Drosophila melanogaster: one gene and its partner. The protein of the gene in region 1 purifies or fractionates together with the protein of each later gene. This does not show direct contact. Each region holds a gene or a part of one and is shown on either strand. Other genes may lie near its edges.

What was found. The genes of interacting proteins can lie anywhere in the genome.
Region 2: the proteins of tapas (region 1) and tej purify together in Drosophila melanogaster (affinity purification with western blotting, with the first as the bait; one study listed by BioGRID). This does not show direct contact.

What each region holds. Positions count from the first base shown.
Region 1 is NT_033778.4:20,317,474-20,325,224, forward strand, and holds the start of tapas (tapas), read left to right. Parts: upstream 1-1,706; 5' UTR 1,707-1,864; intron 1,865-2,321; 5' UTR 2,322-2,339; coding exon 2,340-2,549; intron 2,550-3,022; exon of another isoform or gene 3,023-3,215; intron 3,216-3,520; exon of another isoform or gene 3,521-3,654; intron 3,655-4,204; coding exon 4,205-6,751; intron 6,752-6,819; coding exon 6,820-6,938; intron 6,939-7,024; coding exon of another isoform or gene 7,025-7,046; exon of another isoform or gene 7,047-7,244; intron 7,245-7,374; coding exon 7,375-7,648; intron 7,649-7,705; coding exon 7,706-7,751. Other genes in the region: CG13871 (uncharacterized protein), read left to right, coding at 1-1,497.
Region 2 is NT_033778.4:14,299,603-14,304,268, forward strand, and holds tej (tejas), read right to left. Parts: upstream 2,752-4,666; 5' UTR 2,644-2,751; coding exon 2,452-2,643; intron 2,394-2,451; coding exon 2,073-2,393; intron 2,004-2,072; coding exon 1,518-2,003; intron 1,458-1,517; coding exon 1,255-1,457; intron 1,190-1,254; coding exon 823-1,189; intron 766-822; coding exon 655-765; 3' UTR 501-654; downstream 1-500.

The DNA.
Region 1 (7,751 bases):
TCATATGCGGATACCTCGTGGCCCAGGCGGCCGTTCGGCAGCGAGCGAAGGGACTTGGCGCCTTCGGAGCAGCGATACTTCTCCGATCCGGAACTGCTCTTCCAGCGGCTGGACGACATGGAGCAGAAATTGGGAATTCCAGAAAAAATGGCTGCTGCTGGCAAGGTGAAATCGGAACACTATCTGGTTGGTCCCACGAATGTTGCCGCCCAGATGCTCAAAGATAACTTGTACAAATTTCCGATTGATGACGGCGCCATTGGACAGGGAATGCACGATGATTGTCTGGGTAAGGAGGATGTGGATGATCCCTTCGAGTCCCTGGCCAGGATGAACTTCAATGAGCATTTGAATGAGCGTAAGTCCGATCGTGAGCTCAAGAGGGTGCTGGGTGGCTACTTAAACGACCAGCAGCTGGATGGAAAACCAGCTGTGGCAACAGCCAATTTGCTGGCCAAGGTCATTAGCTCCAAGGTCGATCAGCCCAGGAAGTCTGGGCCTTGTCGTGGCACCACGGCTCGATCCCACGGGTTCACCACAAGAAGCCCTACGACTCATCGGACGACCCTTAGTACCACAACGCGCAGTCCCACCACTTTCTGCCTTCCGGAACCCTCATCCGATCCTCCGCTCAAGCCGCTTCCCACATCTCCACCAACACCTCGTCCTCCGCCTTCCGCACCTTCGCGTCCACCAACGACGCGAAAGCCATCTGCTCAAAGGATTAAGCCCAGTAATAAGTGCCCCATATCGACGAAATCTCAAAAGCTAGGAGGTGCCAAGGTGCTGCTGGAAATCATTTTGGCCACCAAGCAGCATGCCCTATCGGTGCTCAAGAATCTCAACTACCTGGAATTGGAACTGCTAAGTCACTCAACGGACGACGATGTATCGGAGAACCACGTTAAAGAGAAAGAACCAACAACAAAGACGTCTGAACGTATCGAAAAACCCGAGCCAAGGCCACCATCCAGGGTATTTTCCTTTGGAATTCGACCAGCGAGCCAAAAAGAGAGCTTGTACGACTTGGCAGTGGCCAAGGAGGAGGAGTTGAAACTGCAGGATCGGGTGTGGGAGGAGCACCAGCAGCAGATGAAGCTAAGGAGGCCAATGAAGCCAAAGAGGTTTGAGGTTGCTCCGGCGGCTGCTGCACGCCTGGAACCTTTTCAGGAGCCTCGAAAGCCACTGAAGTCCATAAATTCCATGGAGCCTTTTACTCCTTTGGAACCAGAAACCTCCGACGACAACAGACGTATCAATCTGGAAGCCTTGAGCGTGGTAGTCAAGCCAATGTCCTCCTTTCCCAGAAAGGATTCTCTTAGCTCGTCGCCGCGAGCACAAATGAATGCTGTTCAATTGGAGGGCACAAGCGATGATGAACTGCATCCAGGCAATACATTTGAATTGAGACCAAGAAAGAAGAAAAAACACAAGTTGTACGCTATGGAAAAGCAGACACAGACTAAAAAGCTACCCATTGCAGGAGTTTTTTATTAAGTCATTTGTATAAATATTAACAGAGTTTTATTGAAACATTTATTCAACACTTAAATATATTTTAAAAATAAGAAGTTTGAATTTTGGCGCCAATACGTTAACCCTAAGACAGTGCTTGCTTATAGCTTTTCGTATTTATATGCCACTTGACGTATTTTTTGACATCCAGCCCACGGTCTCACTAGAAGGCGCCGAAAATTTTAGAAACGTCAAGCGAGAATGAACTCCCGTATTGTTGTGTTAAAAGGAACTTCGTTCGGGATCATCGGAATATTCATTTCTCAGGAAAACCCCAATAGTCTCATTTATGCAGTTTGCAGTGCATATCTTGCTGAGACTCGATTTTTATTAATTGTTTAATAGTTTGGTAAGGACAGAAAACTCACAATATCGCATTACGACACATTCTTTGTATTTGCACAAACGAAATCAAATTCTAAAATATAGATCAAAATAATTTAATTCTGCGTCTGCGCCGCCGCTTTCGTCCATCTCTTTCTCGTCTCTATTCTCTTTATTTTTTGCCCCTTGTCCGTCTTATTTTTCTAGCCCTGTGTTTGCCAATTTTATTGTGCACACTGAAAGAATAACGCGGAACAGGCGCAACTCAATGTTTGCAGAATAATTTAGACCCTTTCAACCCTTTAGACCCTATAGTTTAGAAATAGTATATTAGAAATTTCTTTTTGCCGCGTTGTTTTTTTCTGTGCATGCTTAATTGTTGCTGATTTGGGAGTGGGGGTGGCGGTGGGCGCACGCATTCCACGCCACTTGAATCATGCTCAATGGGTTAACCTCTCTCCGCCTCTCGCTCTCTTCGACAGAATCGTGGAACGATCATAATGGAAAAGCAGGAGGTCCTGGAATACGTGGCCAAGGTGGTCAGGGCCCTAATCACGTCAGCTAAGCCGCCGGTTACGCTGCGGTCCATCGTCGCAGATTACATGGAGATTGAGGGTGAGCCGATACCCTTTCGCAGGCTGGGCTACTCGAATGACCAAGAGCTGCTTAAGGATTCGAATCAATTCAACTTTCACCAAAGCGGTAATCAGGTAAGTGCCATCTCCGTCCTTCCAATTGTTACGCCTGTTGCCTAAATTGTTGGCAAGATTCTTTGCGAATTATTGCATATCGCAAATGTCAGGGAGTGAGCGGCTCTCTTCCACCCACTTTAACCGCTTTCTTTTGCCCACTTCGCCTGAGCTTGCTCTCTGGGTGCCTCTCTCACGTGCGCAGCTTTCGAGTTGCTCTCTGCTGGTGTCACCATAGCTGTTAGCTAAAACTAGCTAGATATTTTTTACTTTCTTTTCAATGTATTTTAATTAATTAGAATACTGGAATTAAAGAAATCAGTGTTACTGAATTTAGGAAAAGGAGATGGTTAGCTAGTTCCGTTTTGATTTCACCTTTAATGAGAGTTTGTAATTACTAATATGGCCATAAAAACCGCTAGATCTGACGTTAACTTAGACAGGTGGTCATCGCCGCTGACTATCGAGCTTTTCGCGAGCGGCGCCCACCGCTTTCAGTTCGATTCTCTGGCTGAACGCGTGCGGTGAGCCGCTGCTGCTGCGCTGCTACCTTACCGCTTCACTCTGTGTGACCGACCGCTCGACGGACCGTTCCCGCCCGCTCTCTCCGTCGAAAAGGGGCCGCCCGCCGCTGAAGGGGCAACGTGTCAACGGCGTCTTCTTCTTTTCATCTGCGCCGTGAAAAGTGTAAACAATGGATCTTACTTAGTCTAGTTTCGATTTCGCCTGGTACACTTGTACATATTAAACAAATGCGTGCTGATTAAGCGCTTTGCTTTAATAAGTGCAACGACAGTCGAAAACAAAAGTGTATAACGCGAAAATCGAAAAGGCCAGCAATTTCAAATTGCCTGTGTGTTCGTTCGTATGCGATTGCATGTTTGCATGGTGAAAGTGAACGAACGTTCGTCAGTCGTATGTTTTGATTTTTTCTCTATAAATGCCAGTCCCCATCTGGCCGTATTGCACTTGAACTGTGTGCATTATTCTTGTTTAGCCGTCTGCCTCCACACCTGTGGGCGAAAGTGGGCGTTTGGATGGGCGGGCTCTTCCGGCCAACGCTTTTGCATTGCTTGCCAAATCAATAATCAGACGAGCCAAACGAACGAGTGTTATTCATTTAATTGTAATTATGTATTCTGTATCTAGCATTCCGAGCTCTCGCTCTGCACCATTATCACGTTTGGGGCTTGAAAACCCCCTGCCCATATCCAGATCGCTGTGACCCTATAAAGATGATTGCAGCAGCGAAACAGCTCGACTCAATGTGAATCATAAACAAAAACTCAACTTCTTCAATCCACTCGGATTTCCAAACAATTAAGTGGACTCACTGGGCTTGGCTGTAAAATAGCTGACTCTTCAGTTAAATGGAGCATATTGGATTTCCAAACTCAAGAGTTGTTCGAGCAGAGCCACTTTCCCCTTTCTAGAAGTGGTAGCTCATGTATACAGTGTAGGGTTTCCTGGTTAAGGGTCGTCGTATACAATAACCGGAACTTATGCATTAGAAAGATTGTCAAAAGGATTTACATCTTAAGTTCTCCTAATATACCTAATATATATTATATACATACAGATATTAGGGAAACAGATAAGCATTTAATACAAGTAGCATAATATGCAGCATAATGCGAGTTTCAAAATTAATTACCTTCACATCTATCCCGCAACAGGTGTTCATCACAGCGAAGTATAACGCTAACACAGAACATATTGTGCGTATGGTACGTCAGCAGAAGACCAGCAAGTCCACAAGCTTATCGAAGCCCACTCCAATTGCCCAGAAGCCCAAGCCAATTGCCCAGAAGCACACTCACGGCAATAAGTACCACTACCAGCAACGGAATAAGCAGCCGAATCATCAGCCGGATCAAGAAATAGGAAGAGCAGCTAAGTGTGAGAATCAGGCTATAGCCGAGCATAAACAAGATCTAACGGGCATCATAACCCAAGAGCTGTTTGAAAGTTTCAATAATATTCAAGGTCCGTTTTCGGAAAACCTGCAGGTTTTCAACAAAAATCCAGAATATATCACAAGGCGAAAGAAAGAGCTTAAGAAAGAAGACGATCTAGATCGTGGTCAAATAACGAAGGAAGTCGCTAGGGAAAAACAGAAGGAAAAAGAAACCCGCGATCGGGCTGTGACGGAAACGATCTTCGTAACAATTGAGAACAAAAAGGCACCAGTCATGAATGGACATGGACCAAGGCACGTTAAAGTGGCTAACGGACAAGACAAACACAATGACGGCAAACCTCCGCTGCGTGCCATACTGGGCAACAGTGCTTCGCAGCGCCAGCAAGATACAAGCACCGTCTATCACAGCCCTGAATCCTCATTCAAGCGGCCACGTCATCCGCGAGTAATGTACCCTGGTCACCAGCGCACCACGGGCGTCTCTGTGAATCACAGATTGAAAGTAACGCCGCAATCGGATGCACCCACGCCAGCGGTAGCGCCCATCACGCCGCCAGCTTCGCCGGAATACGCTCAAACGACAACCGCCGCTAAAGCGACGTACAAAGAAGATATCCACGGAGGTCAAGGTGAAACAGGCAATGTCGTTACAAATCCAAAAGTTAAGGTGCCACTTAAATTCGATCCCTCACTTGATCCCGTCTCCACGCTCAACTTCTATTGCGCGGCAAATGACTTTGAGAAACCTGCATACAACATATTCAACAAGCTACGGAACCTACATTGTTCAGTGCAAATCGCTGGCGATGTTTACAGTAGCTATCCGCAGGAGTTCACCGATAAGGAGACAGCATACCAACGCACAGCACAGATCGCCATCCAGCGCATCATGCATGCCCAGTCACACCAAAAGCTTTCTGCTTGCACATTTAGCGATGTGGAGTTTATCGATGGATTGTACAAGGAGCTGTTAAAGCACCCACATGGCATATTGGGTCACAAGCTGGAGGATTGGTACGGCAGCACCTTCCGGCAACATCTGCCCAGTCATTGGTACGATTTGATCGTGAAGTCAAATAAAATTCGTGTTGAGCACGGCATTGATCCAAGGATCATATTGTTTGCCAACGATCCTGGTTCATCGGAGCCGGACCGCACCAGCATAACCACCCTGCCACAGATGGTGCTGCCGTGGCAGTCAAGCGAAGGAGGATCGCACGACTGGAACATGTTCATCAGCTTCTGCGACTCCACCAAGATAGTGTGGGCTCGGATGATCGATCAGATCGCAAACTTTGAGGAACTGACGAAGCATATTGGACGCCAAATGGAGTCTCCGCATTTCCGACAAAAGGTCTCTAAACCTTACGCTCAGGAAGTCTATTTAGTGGAGATGCCCGATGGCTGGAATCGTGTTCGTGCAATTTCTGTGGATGAGGAGACCCGCTCGGGCCGTTATCACTTTATCGACTTTGGCGATGTGGCAATGTTTCATTCAGAAGATCTCTTCCACTGTCCACCGCAGTTCTTGGCGCTCCCGGCCCAGGCCGTGTGCCTCAGCATGTATGCGTTGGATAAGTTCGAGGATCATCCGCACGCTCTGCAGGTTTTAACAAAGGAGCTGGACGGCCAGACGGTTGTGGCCCATGTGCTCACCACGGAGAAGCAGTTCCTGGAACTGGGTGGATCTGCCCAGGGTGTGGTGGAGAACGGTAAGCGTCGGGCGTGCTTGGTGGCCACGCTGTACGACACCTCAACGGCTGAGGACATTCATCTGAACGATCTGGTTGCGAAAAGAATAACGAAGTGCACGCCGGCACCATCGCTGAGTGATGAAAAGAAGATCGGCAAGACCACGCCCATTCTTGTGTCTCACATCAACGATGATGGTGATCTAATGGTGCTGCTACGCAATGATGACCTTAAGTTTGTGGAGCGCAGTATTGCGCAAACTGTGGCTGATTTGGGCGAGCAGGACCGAGTGAGCTATTCGGATCTGCTCCACGACCGCCATATATTCGTGTGCGACGAGACTGTCGATGGCGTCAAGCAGTGGTTCCGCGGGCGACTGGTCACCAGACCACTGAATCCGGACGAAGAGTCCTTCGATGTCTACTACGTGGACGATGGACGGCAGCGTAAGGCGCACATCTCTAATATCTACCGCCTGGAGGCAAACAACAGAGCTCTGGCTACGTTCCCGCCACAGGCGATACCCGTTCGCCTGCACGACGTTCCAGAGATCGGAGGTCATATGCTTCATCGCCTGCGTGGTCTGATACCTTGGCGCACCGAAGCTCTCGTAAGTGTTTTATATGAAAGGGATGTTTTGAAAGCTTGTCGAATCCGTAACACCATTTTCTCCCGCAGCTGAAGGTTGTGGCCATGGATGGTGGTAAGCCTCTGGTAAACGTATTCATCCGCGAGGATCCGGAGTCCATGTATATGTGCGTGAACATTGGCCTTCGCCTGGAGCTCGAGATGGCTAGGTAAGTGCCTTTATTGAAGCTTTTGTACAATGTCTATTCATTCTATATCATTATGGTCAATGTCATCTAATCACATCGTCATCAAGCTCCCTAAACAACGACATCTGAATTGTGACTGGTGCCCTATAAGTTTATATTAACAATATAATTGATCCTTTGCTTAATGCTATCTCTATAAGTGCTTCAATAAACCGGAACTGACTTGATATGTTATTGCTAACACAAATTCGATCTACGTTTTGTAAGCTTACCCTAAAATCATGCACATCTTTGTATATAATCTGAAAAATATACTCTTAAGCTGCCACACATATGTACTTTACTACCCAATAAGCCCGAAAGCAATCAGATTTTTTAAACCTTGAAACCAACAATTGCCTCCCAATCCCCCAATCTGGCTTGTTCCCGCCCCACCCTTGATTCCCCACCCACACAGCTCCATTCATCCGGAGAAGTATGATCATACGCTCCTGAGCTCCAATGTCCAGCTGCCCAGACGCGGTAGCTTCAGCTCCGTGTTCTCGAATCAGAGCAGCAGCAGCGACCTTGTCGCTACCACTCCCCCGGTGACGCCAGAGAAGAAACCATCCGCAAGATCGACCGGCAGCACCTTTTCGTCTCTCATGCTCAAGGATTACGAGGCTATTCCGGCAGTGGGTGCCTATTTCGAGGTGCGCGTTGCCCTCTCCGTCAATCCCGGTCACTTTGCGGTAAGTCAATCATCAGCAAATTAATGACTCCGATTATGATGTGCGATTCTTCCGCAGGTGCAACCGTACAAATACTATAACCAGCTGCAGACTTTGATGAAGA
Region 2 (4,666 bases), 6.0 Mb from region 1:
CACTAACAAACAAAACACCACTCGACACACAACGTAGTAGAGAAGCCTAAAAAAAAAAAAAAACATAATGAAAAATATATTAAAAACCAACCTCAGGGTGCCGTCGTTTCAGCGGTCACCAAAAAATAAAAAAAAAACAAACGAAAAAAATCTAAAACCAGACAAGAAACCAACTATATACACAACATATATATACAAAACATAGACAATGTTGTCTTTTATAGGGAATTGTTAAAGCGCCTCAGTTACATTTCAAGTATTTATTGCGGGCCTGCCACCAGGCGAGATCATGATTTTCCATTCAGATTCAGAATTTCCGTTCAAGATGCCACTTTTAGTTGCGAGCGAGATCTCTTTTGCAAGTGGTTCGTCTTTGAGTCCTTGTTTGTTTTACTTTCGTGCATAAATCAGGCGAAGGACAGCGACTTGTTGAAGGATTTATGTAACCTAGTATTTTATTACACGTAAACTAATAAAAAGAAAGCAGAAGGACAGCGTTTGCCTTAAAATAATACTTTAACGAGTTTTATTAAAGTCATACTGTGGGAAACATAATCAATCTATTCGACAAATAGGGATTTGAATTGTGCTCAACAATAAGATTGGTCATTAAAGTAATTAAAGCAATTAATGCAGTATCCATATAATAGAAATCTATGCACTCGTGCAGCGCCGCACCCAACCAGTTTCTATGAGCGATCTATTTAAATTAACAGTGTGTCCTTGTGATTCCGTATCAACTAGCACAAGATAGGCAGTGTTGTTCTAAAAAGGTGAAATTTATATCACGTTTTACTAGACAGTACAAGTTAATCGACTCACCTTAATAGCTTCGACCTTGGCGTAAAGCAGGCGCAATAATATCATATCGTGAAAGAAATTAACAACTTCTGCGGTCCAGTTTGGAGACTTACACTGCGTTATAAACGCCAATCGACCCGCCAAACATTGACGTGGCAGCAAGGCAAACGGCTTGATCAAAAACTTAACATTCTGTTGGCTCACGCGGATTATGTCCCCTATGTCAACCAGCTCAACCTCGATCGTCATTTTGTTGTTACTGGACCGATAACCTAATACTTTGGCCCTTTCCCAGCCACTCGTACAGCGGACCACACAAAGATGATCCGTAGTTATCAAAAACAGTGGCATTGTGTAATTTTTCGATTCCGAACTTTCATAAAACGTTCTATAGGAGAAAATAAATATTGTAATATCTCTCAGAATGTTAATATGAATATCTATATATCTTACTGCATATTGGCAAACTGTGCCTCGTAGTCTTTAAAGTCATCGTTATATATCCAGAAGTTAAAATTGTGTGGATTGACCAAACTCACCAACTGCACCCTAATGCGCTGCTGTAATTCGATAATGGATTCAATATCGCGAGCAGGCAGTGTGAAAGCAGAACGAACCGCATCCCTAGGGTAGTCCACGTCCAGAACTCGATGGTCCTGTTATAAGAAAAGCCCGGAATCAGCATTACATTTTAGACGAATCAAGCTATAACCTACCACAGCATAAGCTGGAATGGCATTTTCATCTTCCCCATCGTCAGAAGACGCGTAGTGTAAGCAATCCTCCGGCGGATCCAGGGGCTTGACAGCATTCTGTTGAGTTGTGGTCATCGATAAGAGATCAAAACCATCCTCGGAAACGGCGTCAAATGCGAGCACCACCGCTTCATCTTCTTTCTCTTTAACCTCTCCATAGATAAAGGGGTCTCTCACGAATTCGTCCTCATTATCCTCATATATTTCGCACTTTAGCTTTTCTTGGTGATCAGTGGGAGCAACATCCACGGAAAGGTTTTCAAAAGCTTGGGCCAATTCCTCGGTTTCTTTCTCTTGCTTATTCTCAGTAGTTATTTTAGGATATTTCTGATTGTTTCGCTCCTTTGAGGGTTCCTGTTTTCGGTCTTTCTGCGACCAATCATTAACTTTCAATGACTTGGAGTTGGCGTTACATGGAAAGCTTGGCCTTTGGGTTCTAAGGGTACTCTGCGGAAAGGCATACGGATTATTCAGCGACTGAAGATAAAAGTTATACTGCAGATGATTATATAGCACCTGTTGCTGTCCGGTGCTGATCATTTGGTCAATATGAGGCGTATGGACGGGATATAACAGTCGATTATAGTTGGGATATGATACAGGAAGTTTCAGATTTCTGGGCACCTGATAAGTTGGGAACGGCGCTTTTCTGTTTTTCATTTTAGAGACGCTTTCGTTAATGAAGACCAGATTGGATGGCTCGGAGGCGTAGCAATACTTGGGTTTGTGGGAGCCTCGATTCTTGGACTTCTTTTGGCAACGGACCAATTTCTGAATGTGCGCCGATTTGGCAGTGGCTACTGCAGTTATCCATGCCATTTGTCCGTGGCCCGTCACCTGGTAATTGCTTGTAGCTTAACGAGTGCTCATTTGGATGTATACTTTATTTACTTACCGTAACCGTATCCGGAATGGATCGGAGAAAGGATTCGGCGTCCTTAAATCCCAGTTTGCTGTAGGGCAAAGTGCAGCCCTCTTCGCTGCGGTAATCCCGCATCAACTGCTCAACGGTCAGTTTTCCTGGTGAGGACACCACCAGCGAGTGGACAACTTTCTTCACCAAGCTCAACTCCCCTCCATCATCCATGCTGAATTAATGTTTGTGATTTTGCAGATTTACGTCCCTCTTTTCACTATAGTTCATTAGAATGAACTGATTCCATGCAAAAAAGGCGCTAACACGCTTCCAAATAATCAACACGCTAACTGTAAACGTAGTATTGCACACAGTTATCGATAACGGCTGCGTCGTTAGCAACTTAAATTAATAGTATTGTTATTAAATAAGCGTCGATGAGATAGTTTTTCGGAACGGTGGAATATGGAACATGGGGAAGTTTTTTATTTATTTATTTTTTCGTTATTTATAGGTGAACCAGAGAAGGCTTAATTTTATAAATACCTTAAAACTACTCAATTTTCTGAACATTTCTGAAGAATATGTATATTCCTTTTTTACTGGATGATTTCTTAATTACATAAGCCTATAAGCTCGGCATTCCGGAACTCTGAGAACAAACACAATCTGATATTCCAAAGTCATATTTTAAATTCTGCCGCCGATAGTTTAGCCAACCATTAAATATCGATTTTTAAGAGAACTTGATCATAATTTTTTGTTAATATGGTTTTCTGCTATCGATAGGATAGTGCTGCCAGACATAAAAATTGCCAATCGGAAATTTCCCGCCGCGTTTAAACTTCATTATTTTTTAATAAGTTGGCATACCACTACGAAACAATACATTAGCTTAGTGCTGCCGTACTCACACATATATGACTGATTGGCGCCACTTTCAAAACCGGTTAAGCCATATGGCGGTTTCAGCTTTCGTTAAAGTTCTATATGCCGCTGTTGTTTTATGTAATTCTATATGACCGACAGACGTCCTTCCTCGTGAAACTCAAGTAGCTGAAGGAAGCTACAAGTTCAGCGTAAGTTCATGTCACATGTGGGGCTTGATGGAAGACCACCGGCAAATGGCATGTTTTTTGGGATCGGATCGGGTTGAGTTGATCTTTGACTCGATATTTAACATAGACATTTACAACTTTTTTACCTAGAACTTGGCCATTTAGATTTGCAATTGCTGGTTGTTACAACATCCGCTTACAACTTGGGCGGTGGGCAGATAAATCATAACTCAAAACCCGCCCAAAAAAATTGAGTTTTTCCGGGAAGGTGCTGGTGTATACCCAACACTTTCCACACATGACACATGAACTTGTCCGGAGACAGTGACTCCATTAATAATTTTCACACGACCGGCAAAGGGGCCTTGTGCCATGTAAATTTTACAAGCGGCTCTTCCACATTTTCTGCGTTGCGTAAGTAGATACAGGTACGTCTTGGTTTTTTATGCAGCCGCATAATTATATTCTTTATATTGTTTGCGGGGAAACAAGAACTGGAACAACAGCAGCAACAACATTCAACTTTATTGTGGTTTTTGTTGTTACCGTTTTGGTCACTTTACAAATAGTTGAGCCGAGGAGGAAAAAAGCTCGATGGGATCTCTGCAGTTGGCTATGAGCGGGTGACTTGGCAATCAAACCGGTTGTCCCTGCTCCACGGCTCCATCTTTTTGCCTGTGTTCGTGTGTGATTTATAGTTACGCACAAGCGCGCAAATCCAATTAGACGAACTGGCTAACTGACTGACTGACTGACTGACTGGCCAACTGACTAACTGACAATCCGAAGCATGGCCCGCAGCAAATGCCACCAGGTTATAGGACGGCCGCTGGTTCGATTTGATCTGAAGATCTCGGCCCGATCTTCGCCAGACATATCGCCACAGTTGTCATTGGTCATGAGCAGAATTATGACCGAAACGAGACCATAAAATATGTGGAGCTGCTGTGCCACTTCTGCTATTGGTTCTTAAACATTTTAGAATTAGATCAATATCTATCCTCACTTTAAATAAATGTAAATACAAGAAAATATAGTTCTAAATGAGCCTATTTTAAAAGTGTAGTAGTAATAGTGAAATATAAGCCACGAATAATACCTTTAGAAAGAAGATTTCCTTAGGATTTCCTTTAAAATTAGAGTTACTTTAAATACCAATTGATTTCCTGATTTATTTACTGCCTATGCCCCATTTA